Drosophila melanogaster: one gene and its partners. The protein of the gene in region 1 interacts with the protein of each later gene in a biochemical or structural test. Each region holds a gene or a part of one and is shown in the gene's direction. Other genes may lie near its edges. The genes, in order: His3:CG31613, trx, HP1c and Su(var)3-9.

Evidence for each region.
Region 2: of the proteins of His3:CG31613 (region 1) and trx, one has a biochemical effect on the other in vitro, tested with the Drosophila melanogaster proteins (4 studies listed by BioGRID).
Region 3: the proteins of His3:CG31613 (region 1) and HP1c form a complex in vitro, tested with the Drosophila melanogaster proteins (2 studies listed by BioGRID, with this or other methods).
Region 4: of the proteins of His3:CG31613 (region 1) and Su(var)3-9, one has a biochemical effect on the other in vitro, tested with the Drosophila melanogaster proteins (3 studies listed by BioGRID).

The regions. Positions count from the first base shown.
Region 1 is NT_033779.5:21,421,712-21,428,528, forward strand, and holds His3:CG31613 (histone H3), read left to right. Parts: upstream 1-3,481; 5' UTR 3,482-3,538; coding exon 3,539-3,949; 3' UTR 3,950-4,010; downstream 4,011-6,817. Other genes in the region: His1:CG31617 (histone H1), read left to right, coding at 303-1,073; His2B:CG17949 (histone H2B), read right to left, coding at 1,480-1,851; His2A:CG31618 (histone H2A), read left to right, coding at 2,078-2,452; His4:CG31611 (histone H4), read right to left, coding at 2,927-3,238; His1:CG33804 (histone H1), read left to right, coding at 5,364-6,134; His2B:CG33908 (histone H2B), read right to left, coding at 6,541-6,817.
Region 2 is NT_033777.3:14,281,689-14,290,439, reverse strand, and holds the start of trx (trithorax), read left to right. Parts: upstream 1-3,536; 5' UTR 3,537-4,231; intron 4,232-8,751. UniProt on the Drosophila melanogaster protein: Histone methyltransferase that methylates 'Lys-4' of histone H3 (H3K4me). H3K4me represents a specific tag for epigenetic transcriptional activation.
Region 3 is NT_033777.3:22,740,830-22,748,015, forward strand, and holds HP1c (heterochromatin protein 1c), read left to right. Parts: upstream 1-4,790; 5' UTR 4,791-4,887; coding exon 4,888-5,601; 3' UTR 5,602-5,670; downstream 5,671-7,186. Other genes in the region: Dcr-1 (Dicer-1), read right to left, coding at 1-201; CG6985 (uncharacterized protein), read left to right, coding at 488-1,267, 1,326-1,925, 1,985-2,038, 2,097-2,168; vret (vreteno), read right to left, coding at 2,320-2,477, 2,532-2,725, 2,782-2,966, 3,029-3,845, 3,911-4,321, 4,385-4,695; CG17141 (uncharacterized protein), read right to left, coding at 5,671-6,443, 6,499-6,697; CG31139 (uncharacterized protein), read right to left, coding at 6,914-7,186.
Region 4 is NT_033777.3:15,258,013-15,267,659, reverse strand, and holds Su(var)3-9 (suppressor of variegation 3-9), read left to right. Parts: upstream 1-4,201; 5' UTR 4,202-4,312; coding exon 4,313-4,378; intron 4,379-4,722; exon of another isoform or gene 4,723-4,821; coding exon of another isoform or gene 4,822-4,863; intron 4,864-4,938; coding exon 4,939-5,113; intron 5,114-5,762; coding exon 5,763-7,429; 3' UTR 7,430-7,796; downstream 7,797-9,647. Other genes in the region: CG14864 (uncharacterized protein), read left to right, coding at 1-931; ATPsynO (ATP synthase, oligomycin sensitivity conferring protein), read right to left, coding at 1,072-1,227, 1,290-1,733, 1,970-1,999; Set, read right to left, coding at 2,631-2,641, 2,705-3,055, 3,118-3,307, 3,716-3,973; eIF2gamma (eukaryotic translation initiation factor 2 subunit gamma), read left to right, coding at 4,313-4,378, 4,939-5,113, 7,974-8,210, 8,277-9,150, 9,218-9,293. UniProt on the Drosophila melanogaster protein: Histone methyltransferase that specifically trimethylates 'Lys-9' of histone H3 using monomethylated H3 'Lys-9' as substrate.

The DNA.
Region 1 (6,817 bases):
TATAAAAATTCAATCAACATTTGAAAGTCTCAAAACCCATATTACATCCTTTTAAAAATGGAAAGTGACGAAAAAATTATTTAAAAGTGTAGAACTATTAAAACCTTATTTTTATTAATGATTTAAAATACTAAAAAATTAAAAAAAGTTTACACTTCAAGCAAACTTCGACATAGTAAATGACTGATGTCAGTAGCATTGTTAAAGTGCTCTCCTCCTCGATTCTCATCAGAGCAAAGGAGGTTGGTAGGCAGCGCGCGAGCCATTTTTAACAGAAAAAAAGTGTTCTCAGTGAAAAAAAGATGTCTGATTCTGCAGTTGCAACGTCCGCTTCCCCAGTGGCTGCCCCACCAGCGACAGTTGAGAAGAAAGTGGTCCAAAAAAAGGCATCTGGATCTGCTGGCACAAAGGCAAAGAAAGCCTCTGCGACGCCGTCACATCCGCCAACTCAGCAAATGGTGGACGCTTCCATTAAAAATTTAAAGGAACGTGGCGGTTCATCACTTCTGGCAATCAAAAAATATATCACTGCCACTTATAAATGCGACGCCCAAAAGTTAGCGCCATTCATCAAGAAGTACTTAAAATCGGCCGTGGTCAATGGAAAGCTTATCCAAACTAAGGGAAAGGGTGCATCTGGATCTTTCAAACTGTCGGCCTCTGCCAAGAAGGAAAAGGATCCGAAGGCAAAGTCGAAGGTTTTGTCTGCTGAGAAAAAAGTTCAAAGCAAGAAGGTAGCCTCTAAGAAGATTGGTGTCTCCTCTAAAAAAACTGCCGTTGGGGCTGCTGACAAAAAGCCCAAAGCTAAGAAGGCTGTGGCTACCAAAAAGACTGCCGAAAATAAGAAAACTGAGAAGGCAAAAGCCAAGGATGCCAAGAAAACTGGAATCATAAAGTCGAAGCCCGCCGCAACAAAGGCGAAAGTGACTGCAGCGAAGCCAAAGGCTGTAGTAGCGAAAGCGTCAAAGGCAAAGCCAGCGGTGTCTGCAAAACCCAAAAAGACGGTGAAGAAAGCATCGGTTTCTGCTACCGCCAAGAAGCCGAAAGCGAAGACTACGGCTGCCAAAAAGTAAATTGTGAAAAAGTGCAGTATTTGGTACATGTTCGCAATTAAAATTTTAGATTTATGATTTATAGATCTGAAATTTGTTTAAACAAGTCCTTTTCAGGGCTACAACGTTCCGTTGCAAGAGAAAAAAACTTTTATTTTCTTCCACTTATTTATTAGCTGACGTTCGCAGCAACAATAAAACGTTTCATGTCATGAATTACATTGCATGTTGGTCGCATTCAGTTTTCGTTCCCGATTTTTTTGTATTTATTTGAACATTACCCAATTACCCATATTGCGGGTAAATAAGTTTTATTTGTAAATTCATATTCGATGATTGGTAGTTGAAAAATGCATTTCTTTGGTATAACACATTGTGGCCTTGAAAAGGGCCGTTTTGGATTATTGTCCGCATTCGCAGGAGAAAATTATTTAGAGCTGGTGTACTTGGTGACAGCCTTGGTTCCCTCACTGACAGCATGCTTGGCCAACTCTCCAGGCAAAAGCAGGCGAACAGCCGTTTGGATCTCCCGACTGGTGATGGTCGAGCGCTTGTTGTAGTGAGCTAGACGAGACGCTTCGGCAGCAATTCGCTCGAAAATATCATTTACAAAGCTGTTCATTATGCTCATCGCCTTCGACGAAATTCCGGTGTCAGGATGGACCTGCTTGAGAACCTTGTAAATGTAGATGGCATAGCTCTCCTTCCTTTTGCGCTTCTTTTTCTTGTCGGTCTTGGTGATGTTCTTCTGAGCCTTGCCAGCCTTCTTGGCTGCCTTTCCACTAGTTTTCGGAGGCATTGTTCACGTTACTTATATTTTCACAAACACAATTCACTTATCGTAATGTGGGCCCGAACGCGTTCACGTTTATACTTTTTTTCGAGCAGTCAATTCAGGTCTAAGTCACCCACCCCTAACTGAATGCGCAGGCAAACGGAAAAGTATAAATATTTCGCTGTCTGGGTTAGGCGAGCATTCGTGTTCCGTGCGTAAAGTGAACTAAGTGAAATAAACGCAAAGCAAAATGTCTGGACGTGGAAAAGGTGGCAAAGTGAAGGGAAAGGCAAAGTCCCGCTCAAACCGTGCCGGTCTTCAATTCCCTGTGGGCCGTATTCACCGTTTGCTCCGGAAGGGAAACTACGCAGAGCGTGTTGGTGCAGGCGCTCCAGTTTACCTAGCTGCCGTAATGGAATATCTGGCCGCTGAGGTTCTCGAGTTGGCTGGCAATGCTGCTCGTGACAACAAGAAGACTAGAATTATTCCGCGTCATCTGCAACTGGCCATCCGCAACGACGAGGAGTTAAACAAGCTGCTCTCCGGCGTCACAATTGCACAAGGTGGCGTGTTGCCTAATATACAGGCTGTTCTGTTGCCCAAGAAGACCGAGAAGAAGGCCTAAACGTTTCAAAGGCTAAGCTAAAAACCTACATGTACATAAAATCGTCAATCAAACCGTCCTTTTCAGGACGACCAAATTATTACCAAAGAATTGAAAAATTTTTTAGCTTGGCAATTTGTTGTAATTAGTAAATCATAAAGAATTATTAACGTAAAGATGGTAATGTAGTAAGGGTTTTCTACTATATGCGGTATAAACTATAATTTGCTTCTTTAAACAATCGCACACCACGATGTGATGCTGTACATGCGGTGTCTGAAACCATTTGTACAGTCTGTACAAATCCATGTTAGAAATACACATTCTATTTAAAAGAGTACGAACGACAGACATTTATTTTTAGTTTAACATATTTTTTGGGAGTCCCGACCAATAAAATTAAATACTTTTTGAAAATCTTCCTCCTTTTAAAAACTGAATGGTGGTCCTGAAAAGGACCGATTGCTTAATAGGGGTACACAGGATGTACACTTTTTAACCGCCAAATCCGTAGAGGGTGCGGCCTTGCCTCTTCAGAGCGTACACAACATCCATGGCTGTAACTGTCTTCCTCTTGGCGTGTTCCGTGTAGGTCACGGCATCACGAATTACGTTCTCCAAGAAAACCTTCAGAACGCCACGCGTTTCCTCGTATATGAGTCCAGATATGCGCTTCACACCGCCTCGACGGGCCAAACGGCGGATAGCAGGCTTCGTGATACCTTGGATGTTATCACGCAGCACTTTGCGATGACGCTTGGCGCCACCCTTTCCCAAGCCTTTGCCTCCTTTACCACGACCAGTCATTTTTCACTGTTCTATACTATTATACACGCACAGCACGAAAGTCACTAAAGAACTAATTTCAACGTTTCTGTGTGCCCCTATTTATAGGTAAAACGACAAAAACCCGAGAGAGTACGAACGATATGTTCGTTCGCTTTTCGCTCGTCAAATGAAATGGCCTCCGTTTTTCTCTCTCTCTCTCTCTCTCTCTCTTTCACCGTCCACGATTGCTATATAAGTAGGTAGCAAATGCTCTGATCGTTTATTGTGTTTTCAAACGTGAAGTAGTGAACGTGAACTTTAGTGAAACCCAAATCGGAGATGGCTCGTACCAAGCAAACTGCTCGCAAATCGACTGGTGGAAAGGCGCCACGCAAACAACTGGCTACTAAGGCCGCTCGCAAGAGTGCTCCAGCCACCGGAGGTGTGAAGAAGCCCCACCGCTATCGCCCTGGAACCGTGGCCTTGCGTGAAATTCGTCGCTACCAAAAGAGCACCGAGCTTCTAATCCGCAAGCTGCCTTTCCAGCGTCTGGTGCGTGAAATCGCTCAGGACTTTAAGACGGACTTGCGATTCCAGAGCTCGGCGGTTATGGCTCTGCAGGAAGCTAGCGAAGCCTACCTGGTTGGTCTCTTCGAAGATACCAACTTGTGTGCCATTCATGCCAAGCGTGTCACCATAATGCCCAAAGACATCCAGTTAGCGCGACGCATTCGCGGCGAGCGTGCTTAAGCTGACACGGCATTAACTTGCAGATAAAGCGCTAGCGTACTCTATAATCGGTCCTTTTCAGGACCACAAACCAGATTCAATGAGATAAAATTTTCTGTTGCCGACTATTTATAACTTAAAAAAAATAAGAACAAAATTCATATTCTATTATTTATGGCGCAAACGGTACTGGGTCTTAAATCATATGTAAAAATACTAATTCTGCCAGAGAAGGAATAAAAATAATCTTATTTTAATTGTCAGCTCAACATTTATTAAATTAAAGAAGAGGTTAATAAATATAAAATATATATAAAAATATATATTTTTATTTGTTCTTTGTGCGAACATCCTTTAAAGCAGTGAAAGTGTCGTGCGGGGCAAGGGACTCTGAACCTTAAACATCTAAAAAAAAATCTGAATTCTGTGTAAGACAGTTTGAAATTAATGAAATTACATTGATGACGGCAATATTTATAAAATAACAGAAAATAATAAAATAAAACTAGCTATTTTATATTTTTTCCATGTGTTAACTGAAGAAAGTGTTATTATTGAAGAGGTCGTACGGGACAATTGACACTGTCCCTTCAAACGCCTGTAAAAAATAAAACCTATGTAAAATTCAGCACGGAAATTGGCTAATTTTGTTGCGGAATGTAATATATATTACATAATAAAGGATAATACAAAAATTGTTTCTTTTTATTTTTTATTTGATTTATTTATTTGACTACATAGACGGTAATGCATATGTGGCGAGGAAATCGATTGATTTCAGAACAAATTATTTTAAAATATGCATGAAAACACATTAATAACAAGCAAACACATTAATAATTTAAGAAAATATTATTTATTATATTAATATTATGTTATTTAAGAAAGTATCTGTATTTTTAACGATCGAAAATTATTTCTGAATGCTGCTTTAAAGCAAATTTTTCTGTAGTTCAATGTGAACTTAAATCAAGTAATAAAGTATCTTAATTAATAATAGACGCTTCTTTCAGAAGCCCTTCTAGGGGATGAACGTTTCAATTTTAATAAACATAACGAATTAGTGAAATATTTGCAATGATTCTTATTTTATTAGATGTTTTTTTATAAATTGGTCCAGTTAAAAATTTGAATATAAAAATTCAATCAACATTTGAAAGTCTCAAAACCCATATTACATCCTTTTAAAAATGGAAAGTGACGAAAAAATTATTTAAAAGTGTAGAACTATTAAAACCTTATTTTTATTAATGATTTAAAATACTAAAAAATTAATAAAAGTTTACACTTCAAGCAAACTTTGACATAGTAAATGACTGATGTCAGTAGCATTGTTAAAGTGCTCTCCTCCTCGATTCTCATCAGAGCAAAGGAGGTTGGTAGGCAGCGCGCGAGCCATTTTTAACAGAAAAAAAGTGTTCTCAGTGAAAAAAAGATGTCTGATTCTGCAGTTGCAACGTCCGCTTCCCCAGTGGCTGCCCCACCAGCGACAGTTGAGAAGAAAGTGGTCCAAAAAAAGGCATCTGGATCTGCTGGCACAAAGGCAAAGAAAGCCTCTGCGACGCCGTCACATCCGCCAACTCAGCAAATGGTGGACGCTTCCATTAAAAATTTAAAGGAACGTGGCGGTTCATCACTTCTGGCAATCAAAAAATATATCACTGCCACTTATAAATGCGACGCCCAAAAGTTAGCGCCATTCATCAAGAAGTACTTAAAATCGGCCGTGGTCAATGGAAAGCTTATTCAAACTAAGGGAAAGGGTGCATCTGGATCTTTCAAACTGTCGGCCTCTGCCAAGAAGGAAAAGGATCCGAAGGCAAAGTCGAAGGTTTTGTCTGCTGAGAAAAAAGTTCAAAGCAAGAAGGTAGCCTCTAAGAAGATTGGTGTCTCCTCCAAAAAAACTGCCGTTGGGGCTGCTGACAAAAAGCCCAAAGCTAAGAAGGCTGTGGCTACCAAAAAGACTGCCGAAAATAAGAAAACTGAGAAGGCAAAAGCCAAGGATGCCAAGAAAACTGGAATCATAAAGTCGAAGCCCGCCGCAACAAAGGCGAAAGTGACTGCAGCGAAGCCAAAGGCTGTAGTAGCGAAAGCGTCAAAGGCAAAGCCAGCGGTGTCTGCAAAACCCAAAAAGACGGTGAAGAAAGCATCGGTTTCTGCTACCGCCAAGAAGCCGAAAGCGAAGACTACGGCTGCCAAAAAGTAAATTGTGAAAAAGTGCAGTATTTGGTACATGTTCGCAATTGAAATTTTAGATTTATGATTTATAGATCTGAAATTTGTTTAAACAAGTCCTTTTCAGGGCTACAACGTTCCGTTGCAAGAGAAAAAAACTTTTATTTTCTTCCACTTATTTATTAGCTGACGTTCGCAGCAACAATAAAACGTTTCATGTCATGAATTACATTGAATGTTGGTCGCATTCAGTTTTCGTTCCCGATTTTTTTGTATTTATTTGAACATTACCCAATTACCCATATTGCGGGTAAATAAGTTTTATTTGTAAATTCATATTCGATGATTGGTGGTTGAAAAATGCATTTCTTTGGTATAACACATTGTGGCCCTGAAAAGGGCCGTTTTGGATTATTGTCCGCATTCGCAGGAGAAAATTATTTAGAGCTGGTGTACTTGGTGACAGCCTTGGTTCCCTCACTGACAGCATGCTTGGCCAACTCTCCAGGCAAAAGCAGGCGAACAGCCGTTTGGATCTCCCGACTGGTGATGGTCGAGCGCTTGTTGTAGTGAGCTAGACGAGACGCTTCGGCAGCAATTCGCTCGAAAATATCATTTACAAAGCTGTTCATTATGCTCATCGCCTTCGACGAAATTCCGGTGTCAGGATGGACCTGCTTGAGAACCTTGTAAATGTAGATGGCATAGCTCTCC
Region 2 (8,751 bases), on another chromosome or scaffold:
CAACAAATCTCTTGTGCTCACTCCTCTTTCGTTTCTTCTGTCTTTTCTTCTATCTGTTTGTCTGTGTGTGCCTCTGCACTTGTGCAAATCTCCAGACCTCGTGGGCGTCACTTTGTGGGTGTGTGCGTGAGTGGGAGTGTGCCGGTGACGTGTGTGAGCGAGTGGGTACAGTCGAGCCACAGTAAGTCGAACTTGTTACTACATGTTTATATATTGTCACATTATATAATAATCAATAATGCGGTAGAAAAGGAAGTTAAATTTCAGCAAAATTATAGAAAAAGTTGGTGCAAACAAATATGCTATTAAAAGTCTTTTTTCAAGTTCCGTTAAGAATAAACACTACCCTTTTAATTGGCCCTAATTCATAATATTCGTTTCAAATTTTATTAAAATATATCTTAAAATGACTTGTACCGACTTCTTATGAACATAATAAAGCTCAAAAAAGTGACATAGAGTGAAGGTCTTTGGGAATTCCGAGTTATGGAGTTTGAACTGTATGTGAATTTGTTTTCCGGCTGCGACAAATTGAAATTTGTATGTACCGCCATTCGTGATATTTTGCCAGTTGACTTTTTGTGTTACTTTTTATCTAGAGGAAAAAAATATCCATTAACTTGTAGGATTTTTCTTGTTATAATTCCAACTGCCGTCGTTCGTGTTGATGCTGTTACTTAAGTTATTAATTTGATTGTTGCTGCTTCTGTGGGACAACAACGAGCAGCTTTTGTTTATGGTTTCTCTAGTTTTCCATCGCCTTGTTTTTTTGTTTTGAAACAATACAAATGAGTGAGAGGAGCAGCGCAGATCACCGAGTGTGTAAATACACACAATCGAGGCTTTACGTTTGTCCCATGGCAACGACAGTAACCGTTCTCTAACTTAAGTAATTGTTGTGCATATATTTCACTTAATAGCAACTCTTCTTTTTATAATATTTTTGTTTATTTGTGTGTATTTCTATATATTCATCTTTTCGGCACTCACAAACACAGATACAAAAGCGGCAACGACGACGACGGCGACGACAACGCGATATATTTTATACGTTTTTTTCCAGCTTTTTCGCCGCTAAACGAAGGCACTAACTAAGTGAACTTAGCCAAAACAACTAAGAGCGCAGCAGGCGAGCGACCAACTCCAAGCAGCACTCAAAAACAAGTGACTGCTGAAATGACTGGCGAACAAGCGACGAGCGACGATTCTCCGCCGCCGGCGAGGTAGACTCTCTTCCAGAAGACTCTCTTTGGGCGTTCAGCTGGGCTCTCGGCTTTCGGTTTCTTCGGCTGGAATTGAAGAATGGCATTATCGCGCACTGGAAGTGCACACAAATACTCATTCGATTCGTGGATGTTGGTTTACTGCCTCCACTGCTTCCACTGCTCACTTCTCCAACCTGGAATTACTTTTCCAAGTACTCACCATAGGGGCCATACGAATTCGTTAGATGATTGTGCCTAATTCGAGTGATAATGGTGATAGCAAACACGTTGGACTAGCCAGCAGGGAAAGAGAATATTACAGGCACAGTGGTTGCATGGTGTGATGAACCATCCGAGTTTTACTTTACTTAATTTACTTTCCCACTTCAGATCACTCATACGCAGTGGTGTCCCTTACAAAAACCATGTTTTAACTGGATGTTGATTTTATTAGATTAAATTGATTAAATTAAGTTTATTAGATTTCATGACAATAGCTTGCATTTAATAATCTAAACTAAAATATTATATAGATGGCACACACTGTACGCAAATAATCGTATGTATGTAAGTATGTACCCGCAAACTTGTGATAATCATTTAAGCAGCTCTCTCTGTTTTTCTGGCACTCATCTTGATTATTAAATGATAACTGGATGACGGCGACAGGTGCACAAGTACAATGATTATCAAGCTCCTCGCGTTTTCTATTAGGTTTTATTGTTTTTTTTTTCCCGAGTTCGTCATAGGATTAATTAGCATGCATGATAAGCCCACGATCTGTGGAGGAATCCCTTTTTCAGCGATGAGCTGGAAATTTTCCAACCAACGCGGACGTCATCGTTTGCATTGCAGATTGCGGTAAAAGTTGAAGAACTATTTTTGGAAATCCGGTGATAGTGGCTATACGCCCGCTGCTTCTGCTGCTGCTGTCAAAACAAGACTTTCATTATGATTAGGCCAACGAATTCGTGTTGTTTGCGGCCCAGATAAGCGCCGAATGACTGTCACAGTACAAGGTAATCCATGTTAGATATACATATATTGTTATCGATACCCCTTATCACTGCGCACCTAAACGGACCGACTAACCATGAGGTGCGGAATGCGTCAGCTGCCAAAAACAAAGCTCGATCTGCCCGTGTTGCCAATAGCTGATAGTCCAAGTTACAAGGAGTTGATCAATTTGTTTATGTTTTCGTGTTTAATAGAAGGAATGCCAGGGAAATTGATTTAGTACCTATTATTAGCATTCATTTGAATTATTTCATTTACTAGCAATAATGGTTGTTATGATTATAGTTTCATTATTATTACTTTTTTTATTTTATTATATTATTTTGATAATATTTAGTTATTTATTATTTTTATTTACATAAGTAATTACTAAATTCAGGCCACAACTATTAACACGTCCTTCTTGGTGAACTTTCTATACTAATAAGGTTAATTGCAATGCCTTTTTGTGAGATAACATCTTCTGAATGTGGGTTACCATTTTTTGTCACTGAACAAGAAATTTACAGGCGCTCAGTGATTCAATTTCCTGCGAATTTTTTGTTCACTTCGGTGAAACGTCGTCGAAATGACGTCGATTTAAGCCACCGAATTACCGCCCTACGCTTCTCGCCCGGCAACAGTTGGATTTACATTGTGAATCAAATATGTGCTAATTGAGCGGACACGTTCGATTCGTTGACCAAAATCTATTTGTTTACATCGCGCCTTGCGAATGCATAAAGCCTTTGGGTGTCTTCCCAAAAAATTGGTTAATAACTTTGGCAAAGAACCAAATGCGAAGTGGACGCAGCTGACAAGTTGTTTATGTGTGTCCGCACATTATGGCTTCATTATGAAATCGCAACTAATCCGAACTTCATATACTGGCATAATGGAATTGCCAATGAGGTGATTGATATTTGCCACTTAGAATGTGGACTAGGAAAATCTCCTGTTTTTTAAATTGTTTACCGAAGCGGTTTCTTTTCTTTCCTTCTTTCCCAATAAGATACCGAAGGGTACTTAAAAATTATATTGAACGGAAAGTGTGATAATATTGGATATTCAAAAATTCAAGGTTAATGTGTTTTGTACACTCCATTCTAAACATTTTAATTACCACAAATTAAACAAATTAGCAGTTACACCGAAAGTGGTTTTAAATTTTGAAAAATACTGTTTTGTAGCAATACGCTTTTGTCTTTGAACTAGCAGAGACACATTCCGTATTTAACCAAGACACACACCCCGCAGAGCAGAGACACCCTACTAAAATATCGGTGTGACCAGGTCTGCACACACATGAATTTATTTGTAAGTCTCACAGTATTTTTTATAGTTATCGGCGCGGTCACACTGTCCGGTCGTTTTGCTTTGCTATTTCCATTTCGCTCGTCGAAAAAACGCAGAAAATGTGGAAAATAATTGATAAACTGTGCTAAATAGTGTGTGTGAATATGGTATGCAGTGTCTGCCAATGAAATTACATCGAATTTGTGGCGTTCAATTGTTAAAAAAGTGTGAAAATCGAGAGCAGAAAACCTGATTTCTGTGAAGAAGAAGCAGGCATTTTTCATCGTCGTAAAACCCATACATACAGACACCCGCACACACACACACGCGCATACGTAGCAACATATGTATATACGAAACGCGCGGGCGCGAGAGAGAGAACGAAATAGCAAGAGAGCGGGCCATTTCGGTTCGTGTGTGCGTGTACCTGTGCGTTTGTTTTGTGAGCGCAGAGCGACAGAGTGAGAGAGCGGCGAATGTGAGAGCCAAAGCAAAAACCAAGAAATAAGTGAACGAAAATAAAAACGAAAATCGCAATCTCCACCCCTGTATTTTGTGTTTACTAGTGTTTTGAGTGCGTGTGTTTCTGTCCCGTTTTGTTGTGAAATTGTCCCAAGTGTGGATTATTTTCGTTTTCGTATTATATTCGTGCACCAAGGATGCCAAATGGTAACAACAACCCCTGAAACGGTATCGAATCTCAATCTGCATCTGGATACACGCTCGACAGCAAGGTAATTATAAGATCGCCGCGATAAAAGGCGTCGCCGGCTGCCGATGAGTCAGTCTGCCGTGAATATATATCAATGGATATTTGCGCACATATATAAGCATGCCAGATATTGATTTGGAATGCACCCGGAGATACTGTACACCATTGCACACCACATCACATTATCATATCCCATCCCGTCGATTTCATATTCATAAAGTCCCCACTAACCTTTGTAGACCTCTAGTCAGTAGTTTAGATTGTTGTTTTTAGCTAGAAAGAATAGGAAAGTGTCGTTCAATTATTCACTCGATAATGCAAATTAGGCTGCACAACAAATACTGTTAGTTTATGGCCCACGCTGCGATTTATGTCTACAGTGGGACCTCGTTGAGTGCGACTAGCAGCAGATGGTAGCATTTTTGATTTAGTTTTGTTCTATTTTGTAGTACTAGTAAGCAAGTCTTGTTTCTGGAAAACCTGTTGATTTAATAACAACTTTCTTAACAACGAATTCATTAGTTAATATTTTTATTTTAATCTAATACTAACAGTTTAAAGAGGAGGCGAAATATTTTTTGCTTAAAATAAGTACATCTATTATCATATAATCATATGACTCCTGAAGTTAATCCATCAAATATTTCATTCTTATAAGAAACAATATTATTCGTTTTCTGTTAGCCAGGGGGATTTTACTGCAAGTTTCCATCTACGACGTTTTCCATTATTTACCACCCGTAAAACGAACGGTAAATGACAGTCGCTAACACACCCACACACACAGCGGCGAGCTATAATAAAGCATCGCCGATAAATAAAACTTAATGTGTGACCAGTTAATTGCTTTTGTTGTCGCCTCATTCTAAATCAAATCACTCTCTCGCTCTCACCGTCTCTTTCTCTCTCTCTCTCTCTCTCTATTGGGCTCACATGGCCAAAGTGTTTGTATAACTAAAATTGCTGTTTGTTTTGTTGCTGGCGCTGTTGAAACTTTTAATAAATTATACAATAAAATGAAAAACGATCTCAGCAGCAGCAGGAGCTAAATCGATTGCCGCTGCCGTTCGCTGCCTAGAAGCTGTTGAATAATTACAAAATAAATATATGTACTTGTACATTGGCTGTTTGAGTATTTGTTGACGCCATTTTTTTATTTGCCATCAAAAAGGCAAATTCCAAATCGGCTAGTGTCGATGCCTGTGTGTTTGTGTGTGGGAAACTACGCGCCAAACAACATTGAGGCGCAAAATCGCCAAATGAGTAATTGCGCATATTAAAATTCGCCTTTCAAAAGTCGACCAACTGAGCCGTAAGCTAATGCGAGATCTTGAATGGGAATGAATATGCGATGCGGGCCAACCGATGCTCATCCGAATGCATTTTCACGCTCCACTGCGTCCGCATCTCGTCGATCACGCCTCACAGAATCATTGCACATTTGAATTCGGATGGGTCTACTCACAAATACAAATTTTAAGATCATTTGATGGGACATTTTCAACGGGTTTAAATTAAAATATCCTTGTTTACATAATTCCTATTGTAAAATCGAAAAAAGTCATTTGTTTATTTGTTCTTCTTCTCCAAGATAATCTATTTTCTAAAACATGAGCACTACAATGCTTCGCTTAGCGAGCGATCACTGTAGGTGTGATTTCTATTTGCTTCGGTGGCCGAATTATTAGTTTGCATTGTTGCTACCAGCTAGCTGTATTTACACCTTTATTTACAGTGCGTTTTGAGAGGCTGCAGCTGCCAGCTGAGTTGAATTTATTTTACCTTGTGTTTCGTTACCTTTTACCACCACCACCAACACACAGCATAAACACCACGAAACCAGATGCCCACACACGCAAACAAACATTCGCGTACAAGTATTTAGTTCATGTTTCGTGGCAAATTGGACATCAAAATTGCGAGCTGCCAAGTCGGCTCTCAATATTCAATGCCCAATGCTCATGGCCCACAGAGATACAGATATCCATCCGACCATCTCTATCCATCCATCCCAACACCAATCCATGCGGCACCCACACCACGACACCTTTCGCACATTTATTGGCGCGCACATTTTTCATGTTTCACCTTTGGCTGCGTGTTTTGATTTACAAGCAAATACGGTGTATGTGTGTGTGCACAAGCATACAAACATACACTCCCCCGCGTGTGCTCTCTGCCGCTCTTTTTGTTTTTGGGGAATGGGGCTCACGCTCATTTGTTGATTCCACCTCTACAGCTGCTTTCTCTGGGCTCTCTCATTGTTGTACTGAGAAAAATTTTGCGGTTAATGTTGCCAATTATTGATCAAATAATTATGTATTAATTCAAAGAATATTTAATAAGTGGAGTAGGAAAAGTTATGGAGTGACTGTGGGGCTTAAAATTCATTTAATTTACCTCCCATTTACGATCATTTTTTTCAGTGATCATTTATAAACGACATTTTGGAATAATTTCATACAAATTTACATATTTTATGTGCGAGGTTGACTTCGATTTTTTCCAACTTGTCAATCGAGTTTGTGCAGCAGTGTGTGTGTGGCATGCAGATAGTTGTCTATTTGGTAGCTGTTTGTGTTGTATGTAAGTTGTTGTGATTGTCGTGCTCGTGTTTATGGCTTTAATCGTTTGCCAGTCGATTCGTTACCTGACTCTCTCTCCCTCTCTTTGACCGGGCCCCCTCCCACCAGTCTCCTTCTCCCTCCCACTCATTTGCCATCTCTGTCTGCTCTCGTGTGCTTGACTTTAATCTTCTCAATTACTCGCAATTTGCAAGTCTTGTGCTCGCCCCTCTTTGGCGGTTATTGGCATGCAGTGCGACAGAGACGGGGCTATGTGTACTGGGGTTTACTGGTACACAACAAAAAACGTATAATTAGATGTCAATTTTAATCAATTAAGCAATTTACGAGCAAGTTTTCATATCACTTCGCAGCTCAGACGAACATACTTATCATTGTGAAATAAAGTGGCATTATTTCGACATGCTGTCATCCGATTGATTTGATATGGGATTTGTTTTTAAACTAGATCTATTTATAGGTCAATAATGTTGGGAAAAGGTTTATAATCTGCTGCCAATCTCAGCAATCAATCATATTGCAACTCAAAAAGCATTCTTATACTTTGATATACTCTTCAAATCGATGTACATTATTCAATTAAAATATTTTATCTAATTTCGTTAAGTGCTCGTATTCAGTTTCATTTTGGTGGCCCATTCTTCTTATTCAAGTTATTTTACCTTTTGCGCTTGCTTTGATTTCTTAATCTTTTTACCATAATTGATGGCAATTAAATTAAAGGTGTGTGCGTTTGCTCTCTCTCTCTCTCTCTCTCTCATTTTGCTCCATACCCTCTTCTCCCCCGTCAAATTTGGTTTAGTATTTTCGTTTATCTTCGTGTTCGTTCGGCTGTCGATTTCGAGGAGACGGTGATGATGATGATGACGATGCATTCGAATTTCGAATTGGCCAGGCCAGTTTTACTTTGCCTCGTTGTTCGTTGTTTGCCGGGAGATTGTTCGTTTTGTTGGCCGATTGTCTCTTGGCCTCTTTGTATTAAACACCCCCATCCTCCTCCTCCATCCACAGCCTCTGCCACAACCCCCCCCCCCTCGACAGCCTTCCCCCTTCCCACCTTCACAAATTCCGCGCGACTCTGGTTTAATGGCTGTACTCGAATTACAGTGAAGCCGACGACACTTGAACACCATTAATTGGGTGTCGATATCGAAATACAGTCAAATGTCTCAGATTAAACAATCGAATAAAGTGCAATTCAATACTGAAGTATTTGGGGGGAAAATTTTTAAGTGTATTTGATATTTTACTTTCATAATTTGTGTTCAAATTTTAAAAAATTGTTTTGTATTTATCAGGTGATTTTAGAATCTCTAAGTAATAACTTAGATAATCAAGTGTATTTGCATTTTCGTTTAGTACCACTAATTTGATCTGGACATGGCCAAAAGCTTGAAGGTCTTCCATCCAATTCGGGCAATTAGCGCAGTAAATTTGTGGGATAAACGTAAACACTTACGTCAAATTAGATGGAAACTTTTATTTTGCGAGCTTATAAGCCAAAAAAATAAATTGACGCAGACCTGATAAAAAAATTTAAATCCAGATCTCCCTTGGAACAAACCATCATCCTTAAATTTCCTAAATGAACGATGTGTAAGAGCAGTAATTATTTTCCAAATGGAAACGCCCCTGTACCTGAAAAAAACTTCAATTAAAATTCTAAAAAAAAAAATTGGTCTGCAATTATCGAGCATCCCGTGTACAGGTTACCGCCCATTATCCTTCGATACTAACATCTTCCCCTTGGTAAACAAATGGTCCGTAATTAAGGAGCAACCCCTGTACACTCGGAATTGGGATTTGCTCACTTTGCCGTCTATATCAACGCGTTTTGTCATCATTCTGTGGGATTTTATTGATTCGGTGAATTATTCACGCTGAATTCTCCTTGGAACTTTGATGTTGTGTTGTTGCTGCCGCTCGGTTGGTGGCACATAATTAAAGCGATTTAGTT
Region 3 (7,186 bases), on another chromosome or scaffold:
ATAGACACTGACACGACCATGTCGGCGTGCTCGACGCGACAGCTCCTGGAGCAGCTTGAGGGCTATAAACTCCTTGGAACTTCGATGGCCCAGGCAAATAATCGTGTTCCGCTCGTAGGCGGTGGCCAGTAGCTCCACCTGAAAGTCGCGCGGCGTGAACACGGTGGTGTGCAGATTGTTGTCGCACCAGTGGAACGCCATCGTGGCTGAGGGGATTCACAAAAACACCACTGCCTCTGCGAGATTTCTATCAGAAAATCATCCAGAGCCGGCTACCAGCAGAATGCCAGTGTGACCAGGGTTCGGAATACCTTTCGAGGTTCACTTCATTGGCCACACTTACAAGTGGCTTGAAAATAGATTGCGCCTTGTATATTTATATTTTGTTGATAGCAAAAGTTTTTAAATTAACTTATGTATTTACGGTGAACTATACCCGGTAATCCTCTTCTTTAGCACCATAAAGCGGCGTTCCAAAGCTCCTTCCATGCGCCGCGCTGCAAAGCGAGAGAGCGAAGCGGCGCCTCCCAAAGAGGAACCACAGTCACCCTGCTCCTGGCCCAAAAACAATCTACCCAGCGAATGGGGCACCTCAGGGGGCACCCAAAGCCTGGGACCTCGAGAATTCAGGGCGGGCGAGAATCCCCTCAAAGATAGCCGCATCTTCCATGTGCTCTGGCGTAATCAGACCACCAAAAAGCACAAAACGTGGACTGGCAACGGAACGCTGGTGGTCACGGGATCCATAGTAACATTGAAGGATGACACCGGCAAGGTTGTGGACACCATGACATACTTTAAGCAGCGGCAACTTCAGGAGAACGATCAGCTGGAAGTAGGCAGCAAGGATGTCGAGATTCAGGAGGAGATTAAAACCGTCGAGGAGTGCCTTATTCAGCGCCAGTTGGAAATAGCCAACTGGTGCCAAAAAATAGATGCCCAGAATGGTTGTACAGACACATCGCCACCACCTGCTGACAGTGCACCCGTTAGGTCTCATCTGCTCAAGAAGATCAAGCGCGAGGCAGATGCCTTTGCTCCACCGCATTTGGAAATTAGCCAACATAGAGAAGATAAACATGTCTCCTATGCAGCCGCCGATTCCAGCACTTCGATGGGAAAGAAAATCTATGAACAAAACACTTTGAAGATAGAAAACCCTACCAAGGAGTTCACCCAATCGGAATATCTGTGTCTATTAACTCCAGCTGAACTGCAGAAAAAAATATTACTCTTTGTTTCTGAATATGCACAAACATCTAAAACAGTAAGATAGATTTAGACCAATTTACATGCATAAACAAATCAAAAAACTTGTATTTCAGGAATCGTCTACGTTGAAGGAAATCTTCCAAATTGTATGTGATCATCCTGTGCTCCTAAAAACTTTGGGTACGAATCCAGTGTTTAAGGAAATAATGGAGGTACTGGACGCCATACTGCCGCCTTGGCCAAGCATGGGACTTTACGACTCCGCCAAGTTCGAGTTTCTACACGTAATGCTGGATCACTTAGTGGCGGAGCGAGGCGAGAAGTGCTGCATCTTGGCAAACAGTGAGGATTGCCTCACCCTGGTCAGGGGATACTGTCAGAGTTATAGTTTGGACCATGCGCAGCTAGATGGTCCCCAAAAAGTGAACTTATTTAATTCTCTTGCCGATGGAGAACCAATGATTGGCTTGATTTTGACCAGTGACTTGTCGGCGCTTCGAGCTCTTCGCTGCAAACACCTAATTATTTATAATCACAATTCCAGGCAGCAAGCCAACCAACTGCTGGCCGTTGGAGCAATGGATACCAAAATATATACTCTCATCACAGCCGGAGGTTCTCCGGAGGAGTTGCAGTTCTATGGGCATATGGGTGATGATTCTATAGAAGATCTTCAGAATTGCCGCAGCCAGCTTATACCGACCGCATCTAATGTGAGTACTTCGAATTCTTATCATATTAATAAATCACCTATTGCATTGATAACCTATAGAATCTAGCGGACTGGACCAAAAGTGAGCCACCTTTTGACCGTGTTTTCTTTGAGGTGAGATTTGTATTACATTTTACTAACTTAAATTGCGTAAATCAATGTGACCTTACAGGAAACTGCTATATCGGATAGTCTGGATTGTATTCAACTGGTTTATTCAAGAAAAGTGAGAGTAAAAACTTAAACAAACAAAACGTTAACTTCAAGAATATAAATGTAAACAAAATTATTTTGTTGAACTAAATGCTTAGCAGTTGAGTTAACCTGGAAGATTTGTGCTTTTTTTTGGCCATAATTAGTTCTGAACTATTTCGCGGAATCAACCTTTTGAGAACTTAGTCCAAACTTAAGAACTCCTGCAGTTTTTCAATGCGAGTGGAGTAGCTATTTGTTTCCTCGTCGAAAGTGATTTCGCTGCAGGTGATAACGGACCCAATGGGATAATTTTTATCCAGCCATTTGATCTGCTCATCGGTGGGCTTCTCAGGCACTCCTACGAAAATCGAGTCATATAAATAATATAATTATCTTTGGAGAGCCTAATTACCAATTAAATCCAACTGTGTGGTCATTATAGGGAAGATAAACTGCGGCGGATAGGGACGTATGTCGGTGACATGTGTTGGCACTATGTTTCCGTAGTCAATGAACAAAATGCTGGGATAACCATCTCCTACTAACTCCACAGAGAGACCTCGACGCCATTTGCCTTCGTACTTAGCTATGCAAAGCTCATTTATCCTAAATGAAAGAGCGCTTTAGTTAAATGGACAAAAGAAAACGGCGAGTAACTTTACGGCGGTGCGTAGGTTGCGCACTTGGCAATCTTTTCACCATACTCCTGTATGTCTCGCTGCATTTTGGTGACTTCGTAAGCCAGATCTATGGAGGTGCAGTAGATAAAGCCGCACTGGATGAATGTGTTGTCCATTACCACTACATTTATGTTCTTTCCGCAGTGCAAGGGAATGTATGGAAGACACTGAAACCGAATAAATGCAAATGACAACTGTGTACTTGATGTTTTTTTAAGTTCTGGCTTACGTCCTCTTTGTATCCCAAGTCCGAGACAGACGGCTCAACAGGAGTTAGGATGGTCTTGAAAAGGCGGTTGAGGCTCCTATTAATATCGATCTCGGTCATCACCACGACCTGCATGCCCTTGCTGGTATCGTACTCACGTGACGAGTACTTGATATTAAAAACTAGGGACTGGTCGAGTTCGTACATGACTTCCCTTATGTTGGGACCCACAAAGCGCCTGGGAACTCCGCGTAATTTAACGGCTACGGGATAGCAGGTCAAACCAGCTAAATACGAACTGCATTCATACAGTCTTTCCAGCTGCGTGACTTCAACACTTCCGAAATCAATGAACACTACATAGATTTCCTTGATATTATCCACGTTTAGCACCATGGCGCGCGACATATGTCCCTCGAACTTGTAGAGCACAATTTGTCCGCAGACTGGCGTACTCTGCAGTTTGGAGGCATCTTTGCCCAGCATCATTACCTCCGTGAGAACTGTATAATAGGCGATGTCAATCTGAATGTCCGCCGAGCGCACATAGACCACGTTAGTCTGCTCGAATGCAGTAATTCTCACTTTAGATCCAGACGGCGGCAAGCCGGGTTTGGGGTACTTCCGGCCCACCTTTTCGTCAAGGTTAAGTATCTCACCCTTGCCGCAAGCTTGCTTATGCTGCTCTGCCACATCGGCGAAACAGGAGGCATTGCAGAAGGGCATTTTGCACAGCTTGCAGAAAGTGTCTGTCCAGTTTTGACAAACCACGCACTTGCTGACGCCGTCTTCCAGCAGGCTTTTAGTTTTATCCTCTTCGGTGACAGCAACCGTTGACCTGAGTGATGCAGAAACTATACTCGTTAGCTAATCAAGGGCACGTGACCAGGTGGCTATACTAACAAAGGAATCGTTCTGCCCGAACGAAAGTGCAGAACGACCTGCGGGATTCTGGTCTCATCCTTAAGCTTGTAGATATCATGGCGCTCCAGTGCGAATTCGTACTTTACATTGAGATAGCGTTGAATGGGGTCGTTGGTGGCCAACAATGAACCTCTTTTGTAATCATCTTTGGTGACCAGCGGTGGCCGGAAGAACTCCGGATGATTTTGTCCTCCGGTCGAGATCGGAACCTCTCTGTTGTGATTCACTGGCGTACGTTCAGTGGCCGAAATTGCTGGGCCTGGTGTTGGCATTGGCTCAGTGGAAGTCACCGGATCGCTGGTGATTTCCCGCTCCTTTTGCGGGCGACCAGTGATGCACTTGATCAGGTTCGGGTAACGCTGCACCCGCTGTTGCGCTGTCTCCAGGGATCTGGAAAAAGGATTATACGCTCGAAATATTGAATGACCTGCGAAAGTGCTTGAAGAAACTCACGCGATATTTTCAAAGTAGACAAAGTATACGCGTGACAAGCGGCGGAACTCCATCTCCTTGATGAGCGCCCGACCGAAGAAGTTGATTAGCATCTTTTCGGTCACATAGGGACTGCTTTTTGGAACCACCAAGTATGGATACTTCGCCTGCCTGGTGGCACGTTGCTCCTTTTCGTCCTTTGGCGGCAGCGGGGCTTCCATGATTAGTTTCTGGCCAGACTCGTTAGTGTAACGGTTGCCCACTTGGTCATAGTATTCCCTGGACATTGGATCGAATGCGGACCAATCATCCTGCGAGGATTCGGATTCCATTGCACCTGAGCTTTAAAATTTCACCTGAATTCGAATTGCAAGCGCGTGCGAGTGTGACCGTTTTCTATGCTGTCAGAAGTATGTTGCTATTGTAACTGTTGTTGAAGTCAGCAAACGGTCACACTGGCACTAGTGAAAAAAACCAAGCCGATTTTAAATATTGTAAACAATCTTGTAAAAACACAATAAAAAATGGTTAAAAACGAGCCCAACTTCGTGGTGGAGCGCATCATGGACAAGCGCATTACCAGCGAAGGCAAGGTTGAGTACTACATCAAGTGGCGTGGCTACACGTCGGCGGACAACACCTGGGAGCCCGAGGAGAACTGCGATTGCCCGAATCTCATCCAGAAATTCGAGGAGTCGCGCGCCAAGTCCAAGAAGCGCGGCGAGAAGAAACCCAAGTGCGAAGAGATCCAGAAGCTGCGCGGCTACGAGCGCGGCTTGGAGCTGGCCGAGATCGTGGGCGCAACGGATGTGACGGGCGACATCAAGTATCTGGTGCGCTGGCAGTTCTGCGACGAGTTCGACTTGGTGCCATCGGCACAGATCGTGGAGAAGGATCCGCAAATGCTGATTGACTATTTCCAGAAGATGGCACCTTACTCCCGTCACATTGCGATGCGAATGAAGGGCGTGCCGGAGGAGCTGCGTTTGGCGGCCTCGCGCACCAGTTATCCGCACATTAGCAGTGCGCCCGTCGAAGTGCCGCCGGAGGTGGATCAGTCCGCTGAGTTGGCTGGACATCTTGGTGGAATCGCGCCACAGGTGGACCAGGCGCCGCAGCACCATGCACCCATGGATCTAGCCAATGATACCGACGATTTGGCTAGTGTTTCGTACTCGATTCCCGTGCCCGGCGTTGGCGACATTGCCATCGATGTGCCCATGGCGGAAAATCAATAAGGACGCGAGCAGAATCGACTGTTCAGTCTTTAATCTAAGCCCCTAAGTTTAATTCATACATATGTATAGCTATCTGAAACCACTGGGTTCGTCCAGATTCATGTGACCCAACTGGCCGGAGCGAAAGAAGTGAATGAACTTTCGCGCGGCCGCCAATAAATTTGTCATCACCTCCACGCGTCCGTCGTACTGCTTGACCTTGTGGAATAGCTCCTCCCGATGAGCGTACTCCGCCAGCACGGCGCTGATGTCGTCACTGGGTCCGGAGCTGAGCTTTAGCATCTCCACGTAGTCGTATTTGCGGTGGCTATTCAGCCAGTACAGCAGATAGTCGGCTATCAGATCCTCGCCCACAATATGATCGGGAAGGCAGCCCACCAGGGCCAGTTTCATGCCCATTTCATCATCCTTAATGGAGGGCTGGAGGATGCCGGGTGTGTCGATCATGTAAACAGGCGGATTCTCTTGGATTTTGATGCGTTCGCCGACGGATCGAGTTATACCCGCCTCGGCACCCACGCGTGCGGCGCTCTTCTTCTTGAGATGCACATTTCGCAGCACATTGATCACGGAACTCTTGCCCACATTGGGCACGCCGATGATCATCAGATTGTGCTCGGCAGCTTGGGTGCGATTGAAGCGACTGCTCTCGCTCACGAGGCGCGTTGCCAGGGGCAGGATGTCCAGCACGCCGTTGTTGCGCTGATCCTTGCAGTTGGTGAACAGGATGTGCTGCAGTTCGGGCTGCTGTCTCCTCAGCTGCTGGAGCACGCTCTTCTGCTGTTTGGCGCCCAGCAGATCGACTTTGTTCAGCACCAGAATATGCGGTTTAACACCACTTCCTGGGGAATATGAGTCCCGTATTAAGTGGCAGCTTATGGTTGTAAACGTACTCACCGGTGATTGTGTCAAAGAACTGGGAGTTTCTGCCCGCCAATGGGATGCGTGCATCGTGAATCTCGACTATGCAGTCTACATTTCGTAGTTTTTGCTGAATTTGCCGCATACCCTTGGTCATGTGGCCGGGAAACCAGTTGATGCGCTGCTTGGACGGCAGCCGGAAGGCATTGCGGAATGGATTCAGCTGCGCTGCCATGATGCGGAATCCATGTAATGCTAGCGAATCCAAATCAAAACTTTCAAACAGCTGTTGGCCAGTGACGTAACAATTGACCCAGGATTGTGTGTGGTCACACTAGTGGGGGGAGTTGGCTGTTGGGTGTGGCAGCACTGGCTGATTTAAATTTGAATTTAAAATTAATTATACAGATTTTTATTTTTTGGTACAAAACTAAGATTGTAAATACTAAGTTTATTTTCCGCGGTACAGCTGCACCGCTTTCTTGTTGGATACCTCCAGAAGTCCCGGCTCCCGTTGCACTTTATAAGTGAGCAACTTTGCGTATTCCTGGAGCATCTTACTCCAATAGCACTGCACATCCTCCATTCGGAGGTGGAGCCAAATGAACTGCTGTCCCCGTTCCGCAATCTCCTCCGCCAGATCGTCGTGCTCGCGCAGATATAGAATCAACTCCGCCAGCTCATCCACATCGGCGTCGCTGGCCACGGGAACGTAATGCACCCA
Region 4 (9,647 bases), on another chromosome or scaffold:
ACAGAGTTCCTGTGAACGTCTCACTTGTCCAGCTTTCAGGACAACGGACATAAAAACTGTAGCAGATGATTTCCGCAGTAGCCCGAACTACCCGGTATCGCCAACTTCACGAGGTAACAACAAAATTAAAAGTTCGATGAACCAGCAGAATACGAAGAAAAAGCCGGAGCTGAAGAGCGAATGCTGCCAGACGTGCATCACCCAGCAATTGAAGGATCAGGAAGTGCAGTGCTCAACGGTGACGCTGCAGACTCAGAGCTCTTCGCCTGTTAGGCGAACCAAGATGACCGGCTCGTTCAGCCATCAAACTGGAAGCTCAGCGACAGGTTTATCTGGCGGATACACCAATAATTCGAATAACTTTACTTGTGGCGGCGGCGAGAGAAGAACTTCAAATGCAATCAACGTGCTGCTTATGAACGGCACCCGGAATAATGACTATGAAGATGGGTGCTGCTCTCCGGCGAAGCAACGTCCCATGGCGCCGCCTCCAGAGATTTGCGTTCAAGAGTCCGATCTGACCGAAAATGATGAGCGAGCTGTGTTCCCGGAAATCGACAAGCCCAATTACAGAGTTTGTCGATCCTCGAACGAGACCAATGTTCTGGTCCTGGAGGAGAGTCCTTTGAATGATTGCAGCCCCAACCCAGGGCAGGATGCGAGTACACTAGATAGCAAGACGAAGAGTAATTTTGATGCTCAACAAAACGCCAACGATAATAAAGAGCAACATAATAGTTTTCTAATCAACTGGCTTGAGTCCCCGGCCACGAGTAACTTCACCAAGGTTCTGGAACTGCAGAGATCTCGCATCAAGGAGCTGGAGAATCTGCTGGAGCAGCACAGCCTTCTGCAGCAGACAATCCAGCACAAGGTTGCGGAGCTGCAGTGCACAGATATACCGGATCCTAAAAATATATCTAAATCATAAACCAAATCTAGTGCGCATATCTCTGAATAAATTTTGTTGGTTTTCAAAGGGTGAAGAGTGTTTTATTCGCTATTACCGCTTGAATTCCAATACCAAACTTTCAGTTTGACCATCTAAATCAAGAGCAAATCCTTAAGAGTCTAGGCAGCGGTCTGGATGACATCGGTGTAGAGCTTGACCTTAGTGGCAATGCTCATGTCGACGTACTTGTCGCCAATGGAAACGATCAGGCCACCAATGATGCTGGGGTCCACGCGGGAAGTGATCTTCAGAGACTCGTTGCCCTTCAGGAAAGACTGCAAAGCAAATGAGCAATAAATTGAGTGGGTGAGACAAGACAGAAGCTAGGCGTAGCTACCTTAAGGGCACCCTCCAGCTGCTTGCTCTGGGACGCATCCAAGGGCTTGGCGGTGACCACCTCGCAGACGACCTCACCGCGATGTGCGGCCATGATGGTCTTGTAGGCATTGATCACGGTGTCCAGCTTCTTTAGACGTCCGTTGTCAGCCAGCAGACCCAACAGATTGACGGTGGCCGGGGCGAAGCGGAGCTTCTCGGATGCCTCCTTCAGAGCGGTGGCCATGACCTTCTTGTTGATGATGGGGCTGGTCACGTACTCGCGCAGCTTCTTGTCGCTACGGATGGTGGCCTGCAGGGCCGTCAGATCCTTCTCCACCTGATCCAACTGGCTCAACTTGGAGGCAGCCGAATACAGGGCGGTAGCATAGCGACCCTCCAGACCGAACACCTGCACTGGTGGCTTCACCGTCGCCTGGGCGGCAGCGGAGCTGAGGGTGCGGCTCTGCGGGATAAGCAAACAAGAGCACTTGGTAAGTTTTTCGGCTTATTAAACATAAACTACCCGCGGTTCGTGGGTTAAGATGGGCAAAAATTACATAACCAAGAAACGCGCGTTAGATAATTCTACATATGCGACAGCGGGTTGCAAACGCAATAAAAATTTGACATGCACTTAAAATGGCTTGGCATTGACCGGAGCTTGTTCACTTTTTTCTATTTATTCGCATTATAACATACCAAAAGTGCCAATTTGTTAATAGAGGCCATCGTTTTTATCCCGACAATTTTTCAGCTAAAAATCTCAGCTGTGACCAGGGCTACGTTACTTGCTACTCGACGTGTGGCAGGGTTGTTTTGAATGGCGTAAGGGTTGCAGGACAGTTATCGATTACAAAAAATAGCTAGATTTTAAGATTTATACTAGCTAGTTAAATAAAAGCGAATTTTCATTTTAAAAATGATATTCTGACTTTAAAGTAATTCTTAAAGGATATATTAAAAGATAGGTATTTCTGGGTACCCAAAATCTACCTTAATAGTAACACCTCTAATTTGCTATTAAATAATTAATTAATTAATAAATATTAATTAATAAAGTAATAAATTATTTTATAAACATCGAATTGAATACTTTGGTAATTCTTTACTTACATAAAAAGACACGGCTTGAGATTCGATTTACGTCTTTTTATTTGTTTTAAATTAATTTAATGGTGATTCTCATTTTCTGCTGCTCTTTAATGGATGTATGACTTTTGCTTATTTCGAAACCTAAATATGTCCTTAAATCGTTGCGAATATGTAAATGTTGCATAACCATCGGGAAAACTATAGTTGCCAGTGGTTATAAACAATGTGGGCCTTCGGTTGCGAGCGATTTGAAATTGCATTAATCAGTTTACTTGTCATCTAAAATGGTTGGTTAGGTGGTTAGTAAATTCCTTCTGTTCAAAAGGCACTCCATTAGCTTACCCTCATCCTCTTCCTCTTCCTCGCCTTCTCCATCCTCACCGTCCTCGTCGTCAAATGCCTCCTCATCATTATCTTCGTTGTCCTCCTCGTCCTCGGGCTCCACCTCGATATCAGGTACCAGATAATACTGCAGTGGATTTGGCCAAAGGTCGTCTTTTATCAGTTCTGCGATCTCGTCGTTGACGGGATCGGTGTTATCCGAGAACCAATCGAAGAAGGTTTTGTATTCGGAGTTGCGCTTCTTCTTGTTTCCGTACGGCTTTGTCAGCAAAAGTTTTAGCAGGTTCTTTCCCTCCTTCCATTTGATGGGCGTGCTGGTAGACGCGGGCCAGTCTCCGTTCTCGGAAGCAGCTTTAATTGAAATAGTAATGGGTTAGCTAAGCGGATTTGAATCAATCGTTGGGAGAACTTACCCGCTGAATTCAGGTGGAACTCTTTGGTGAGCACCTTGTTTTCGAAGTAAGGATTCTCGTCGAAATGGAAGTTGATGCGGTAACCCGATTTGATGTCCTCAAACTCCTCAACCTCAAGTTTGTTGAGCGCGTGCAGGCACTCCTCCTCCTCCTCGTCCAGAATGCCGGATACTTGCGGGTGGTTGATAAACTGCAAATATGGCAGTTGGGATTAGCTAGGGGATGCATGCTATCAAGCAGAAAGCCATGTTTATGGCCCCTATGGCACTACTTTTCTTTTCAATTATGGCAGCAAATATTTCAGTGGTTTTTGATTTGAAGCCATTTTGAACTGTGCTATGTTGTGTATTTCCCGGCCAGACGGATATATCGATAGCACGATTTTTCCGGGAGGGGGAAAATGCGCGGGGAGCCGGTGGTGTCGGCATTGCAGCCCAAAGATGAACAAGAAAAAATGCCTCGAATAGAGAAAATTTCTTGTACATGTGTGCAGCGATTACCATCACTTCAGGGCTTCGAAAGATCTAGTCGGCTCCACTAGAACCCATCAGACGAACACGCGGAGGGGACAAACATGGCCGCGGATCGAAGTACTCACCGAGGTCACCCAAAAGTTGGGGATGCGCTTGACCAGCTCGCTGCGCTTCTCGTAGCAGGGCTTCCGCAGCTTGTTGTACTTCTGCTCCACCTTGAGGATCTCCTCGCTGGCCTTCTCGTTCAGCGCATCGATCTCGTTCTGGCAGGCATCAATTTGCTCCAACGCCTCCGACTCCTCCTCGTTGTTACCGGCGGCGGCGGATGTGTTGCCATCGGCGGGGGCGCCGTCCAGCTTGGCTCGCTTTGGCACGCTCGACATTCTGCACGCTCTTCCGTTGTGTGTACGCTCGTAATTCCCGAGATATTTGAACAAAAAGCGGCGGTACAGTTGAGCAGAAGAGAAGCGAAGCGGATTTTTAACCTTTCGTTTGCGGCTGAAGAACTGTAAGTGTATCGATAGGGCGGCACTCTATCGATACGCATCGCAGTTGGGCACCGGTGTGACGTGTCCAACACTGGCCAACCATGATTAGAGCACTATCGATAGGCATTGTCGGGTCCAATCGTTCTTCGATATCGAGATTTGATGCCGAGCTGTAATAGCTGAAAATTATTATTTTCATTTTGCATACGCATCGTTTTTGAAAACATCAGCAACATGGCCACGGCTGAAGCCCAGATCGGTGTGAACAGGAACTTGCAGAAGCAGGACCTCAGCAACTTGGTAAGCAGCCAGCAAAGACGACCGCCAGACGCCGCCTTCCCTTTTTTTCCGCCCGTGTGTGAAAGTATACGCGTCGTCATTATGGAGCCGCTTCCCGGAAAAACAGCGGGGTGCGGGTCGCAAGGACGCGCCCAGATTGTCTCGAACGGTTCGCGGACCAATTTCGAGGGATATACCAGTGGGTTTCGCCAGGGCCAGCAGTGATTTGTTGTGGGTGAGAGATCACGGTGAAAATGCAGCACGTGGCGCTACATTTAGGGTCTGTTTGGTTTATCCCGCAACTTTGGCTCTGCATATGGGCATGATGCGGACTCTGGCGGTATTTGGGCTCTGGCAAGCAGATCAGTTTCGCGAGGACTACCTGACTGTTGTCATCAATTTTGAGTTGATGCAATTCAAGCGACATTCTAACCTCAAAATTGACGGCTTTCCTATATACACACATGCATCTGAGAGGGGATGTTTTGTTAGGGGGTGTGGCGGCGGTAAACAAGACTTGTGCTCTGATTTTCCTCTATTAAAGCGCCTTTATTTATCGTATTGCATTTGGAATCTTGCAGGACGTCTCTAAACTAACGCCTCTATCACCGGAGGTCATCTCCCGACAGGCGACCATCAACATCGGCACCATCGGTCATGTGGCTCACGGCAAATCCACGGTGGTCAAAGCCATATCCGGCGTGCAGACTGTGCGCTTCAAGAACGAACTGGAGCGCAACATCACAATCAAGCTGGGTGAGTCAGGGATCCGTGTAAGCTAGCCTAAGCATATAATCTTAAGATGTATTATTCTACTTGATAATAATTTAGCCGTATGTTAATTCTTCCTGCTCGCCCGTAAACCCCGTAGTGCCCTAAGATTGTAAACCTTCTCGGCTGGCCGAAAATAACCCATAATTATCTTAAGAACCACTTTTTAACACCGTATCGCGACGGCACACCGCGTAGCCAACTCTGTCGCTGCTTTACATCGAGATAATGTTGTAAAAGGGTTCTGCGAATGATTGTCTCTTGTAATTCGAATTCTTGTGTATTTTGTTAACTTAAATTGCTGGATTAGCACGCGTTGCCTTGTGTCGTCGCCTAAGTAGTCTAAAATGATAAAAGAAGTTGTCTTTAGAATGTTGTACTTTACAAAGCTGAATTAAAAAGCGTTCCCAAAGATTGGTATTAAGCATATCTTCCTGTTAGCTTAGTCTTGAATCTGTTACATTGATTGATACGACTGATCCAGCAATTTAATTAATTGCCAATCTTTTTCTTCTTTTTCCCTATTTCTCTTGTTTTTACGATTTTTTCGGTTGCGACGCGTCCGCCAAATAAAAAAAAAAACACACCAAACCCATCATCCAATCCACAATTGTCCAAAACTTGTCATTTGCAGAACGCTTGAGCGAAAAAAAAATCAAAAATCTTTTGACCTCCAAGCAGCAGCGACAGCAGTATGAAATCAAACAGCGTTCAATGCTGCGCCACCTGGCCGAATTGCGGCGACATAGCCGATTCCGCCGCCTCTGCACCAAGCCAGCTTCGTCTTCCATGCCAGCATCCACCTCCAGTGTAGATAGACGCACCACCCGGCGAAGCACCAGTCAGACCTCACTGAGTCCAAGCAATAGTAGCGGCTATGGCAGCGTTTTTGGCTGCGAGGAACATGATGTGGACAAAATACCCAGTCTCAACGGATTCGCCAAACTGAAGCGTCGACGCAGCAGTTGTGTGGGCGCCCCAACTCCCAACTCCAAGCGGTCGAAAAATAACATGGGAGTAATTGCCAAAAGGCCGCCCAAAGGAGAGTACGTTGTGGAGCGTATTGAATGCGTCGAGATGGATCAATATCAGCCAGTCTTCTTCGTCAAATGGCTGGGATACCATGATAGCGAGAACACCTGGGAAAGTCTTGCCAACGTGGCCGACTGCGCCGAAATGGAGAAGTTTGTGGAGCGGCATCAGCAGCTCTACGAGATATACATAGCCAAGATAACCACTGAGCTTGAGAAGCAGCTGGAGGCATTGCCACTAATGGAGAACATTACGGTGGCCGAAGTAGACGCCTATGAGCCACTCAATCTGCAGATCGATCTTATACTGCTCGCCCAATATCGCGCTGCTGGCAGTCGAAGCCAAAGGGAACCGCAGAAAATTGGAGAACGAGCCCTGAAAAGCATGCAAATCAAGCGGGCCCAATTTGTACGACGCAAGCAGTTGGCTGATCTAGCATTGTTCGAGAAGCGCATGAATCATGTGGAGAAACCGTCACCGCCAATACGTGTTGAGAACAACATTGATCTGGACACCATAGACAGCAATTTCATGTACATACATGATAACATAATCGGCAAGGATGTGCCCAAGCCGGAAGCGGGGATTGTGGGCTGTAAGTGCACTGAAGACACAGAGGAGTGTACTGCCTCTACGAAGTGTTGTGCCCGCTTCGCCGGCGAGCTGTTCGCCTACGAGCGAAGCACACGGCGCTTGCGCCTTCGTCCCGGAAGTGCCATCTATGAGTGCAATAGCCGCTGCTCGTGCGATTCAAGCTGCTCCAACCGTCTGGTGCAGCACGGACGCCAGGTACCGTTGGTGCTGTTTAAGACCGCCAACGGCAGCGGATGGGGGGTGCGAGCCGCAACTGCCTTGCGTAAGGGTGAATTTGTGTGCGAGTACATTGGAGAGATCATCACCAGCGATGAGGCAAATGAGCGCGGCAAGGCGTATGACGACAATGGGAGGACATATCTGTTCGACTTGGATTACAACACAGCTCAGGATAGCGAGTACACTATCGATGCAGCTAACTATGGCAACATCTCGCACTTTATCAATCACTCTTGCGATCCTAATCTCGCCGTGTTCCCCTGTTGGATCGAGCACCTGAATGTCGCGCTGCCGCACCTCGTGTTCTTCACACTGCGTCCAATCAAGGCGGGCGAGGAGTTGAGCTTCGACTACATTCGCGCGGACAACGAAGATGTGCCCTACGAGAACCTCTCGACAGCTGTGCGTGTCGAGTGCCGCTGCGGAGCTGATAATTGCAGAAAGGTCCTCTTTTGAATGGACTTGAAGTACTATATTTAAATGGCACGCCGTTACCCACCTGAGACATCATTGCATTGAACCTTTTTTTTTTTTGTTAACATATATATATATTACTAGTTGGATTTTATATTCCGACGTTTTAATTATTTATTTGTTAATAAATGCTAATATCGATATATTGGATCTATATTATGTTTGAGGATCTATATTACTAGAGGATAAAACGAGTAATTCTATATAGTTTGTACTTGTATACATTTCATAAACTTAAATTTTAATTTAGTAATAACTTAGTGTTTTGACAAACAACCTTGTAATGTGCTGAAATTATTACCGCATTAAGTGCAAATTATTATTTTACAATAAATATTTTACGATTATTAAGTGATGTTTGTTTGTGGCTGTATAAATGATCTGGAAGGATCAAAGAAATGAATTTAGTTAGCAATAGCACTTAATTCCTTGTGAAGAACGAAGGATTATTTTACGTGTTTGCCAGGCCAGGAGTTCGAAGAATGTATTGTAATATTCTTCATAATTATTATCGCATTGCTTTTAGGTTATGCCAACGCCAAAATCTACAAGTGTGACAACCCCAAGTGCCCGCGCCCGGCCAGCTTCGTATCGGATGCATCCAGCAAGGACGACAGCTTGCCCTGCACTCGGCTCAACTGCTCCGGCAACTTCAGACTGGTGCGACATGTGAGCTTCGTGGATTGCCCCGGTCACGACATTCTTATGGCTACCATGTTGAACGGTGCTGCTGTGATGGACGCTGCTCTGCTGCTCATTGCTGGTGAGTAACCCTGGATCTCTCTGAACCGACAAAAGATATACAAATTACTACCTATTCCATGTGCAGGCAATGAATCCTGTCCACAACCGCAAACCTCTGAGCATTTGGCCGCCATTGAGATTATGAAGCTGAAACAGATTCTGATCTTGCAAAACAAGATCGATCTGATCAAGGAGAGCCAGGCGAAAGAGCAGTACGAGGAGATCACCAAATTCGTCCAGGGCACCGTAGCTGAGGGCGCTCCGATCATTCCGATCTCGGCCCAGCTTAAGTACAACATCGATGTGCTCTGCGAGTACATTGTGAACAAGATACCAGTGCCGCCGCGTGACTTCAATGCCCCGCCCCGTCTGATCGTCATCCGATCCTTCGACGTGAACAAGCCAGGCTGTGAGGTGGCAGACCTTAAGGGCGGTGTGGCCGGTGGCTCCATTCTGAGCGGCGTGCTGAAGGTAGGCCAAGAGATCGAGGTGCGTCCGGGCGTTGTGACCAAGGATAGCGATGGCAACATCACCTGCCGTCCAATCTTCTCCCGTATCGTCTCGCTCTTCGCCGAACAGAATGAGCTGCAGTACGCCGTGCCCGGCGGTCTGATTGGTGTGGGCACCAAGATCGATCCTACGCTGTGCCGTGCCGATCGTTTGGTCGGTCAGGTGCTAGGCGCCGTTGGCCAGCTGCCGGACATCTACCAGGAGCTGGAAATCTCGTATTACCTGCTGCGTCGCCTTCTCGGCGTCCGTACCGATGGTGACAAGAAGGGAGCGCGCGTTGAGAAGCTGCAGAAGAACGAAATCCTGTTGGTTAATATCGGATCCCTCAGCACTGGTGGCCGCATCTCGGCCACCAAAGGTGATTTGGCCAAGATCGTTCTTACGACGCCTGTGTGCACGGAGAAGGGCGAGAAGATTGCACTCAGCAGACGTGTGGAGAACCATTGGCGGTGAGTATACAGCCCCCCTTAAATTGTATTTGAAATCACAACTTAATGATGTATTTTTTCTCCTCAGTTTGATTGGCTGGGGTCAGATCTTCGGAGGCAAGACAATCACACCCGTTCTGGACAGCCAGGTGGCAAAGAAGTAGAATTTAGTTAGGATCCGAATGGTTCTACTTTTAAGAACAACATCAGCGGCAAAAGTGGCAGCATCATCTTTATTAGGCCTCTTCACACTGCTCCTTCTTGTCCCACAGCTCCATTCTTCCCGTGTCCGTTGATCAAACCGAAACTAATTAGTACCAACATGAAATACATACCTAACTTAATTTATTTTATTGAATTTTGTTGTCGAGTATGTATATAATATGAAAACACACGATTCGCTTGCGAGTATTGTGCATCTATAGCAGAATCAGGCATTAAAAAAGCAACTAATAGGGTATACCTTTATATATTATAATAACTAAAGGCAAATCTGATACATCGTAAAATTGTTTTTA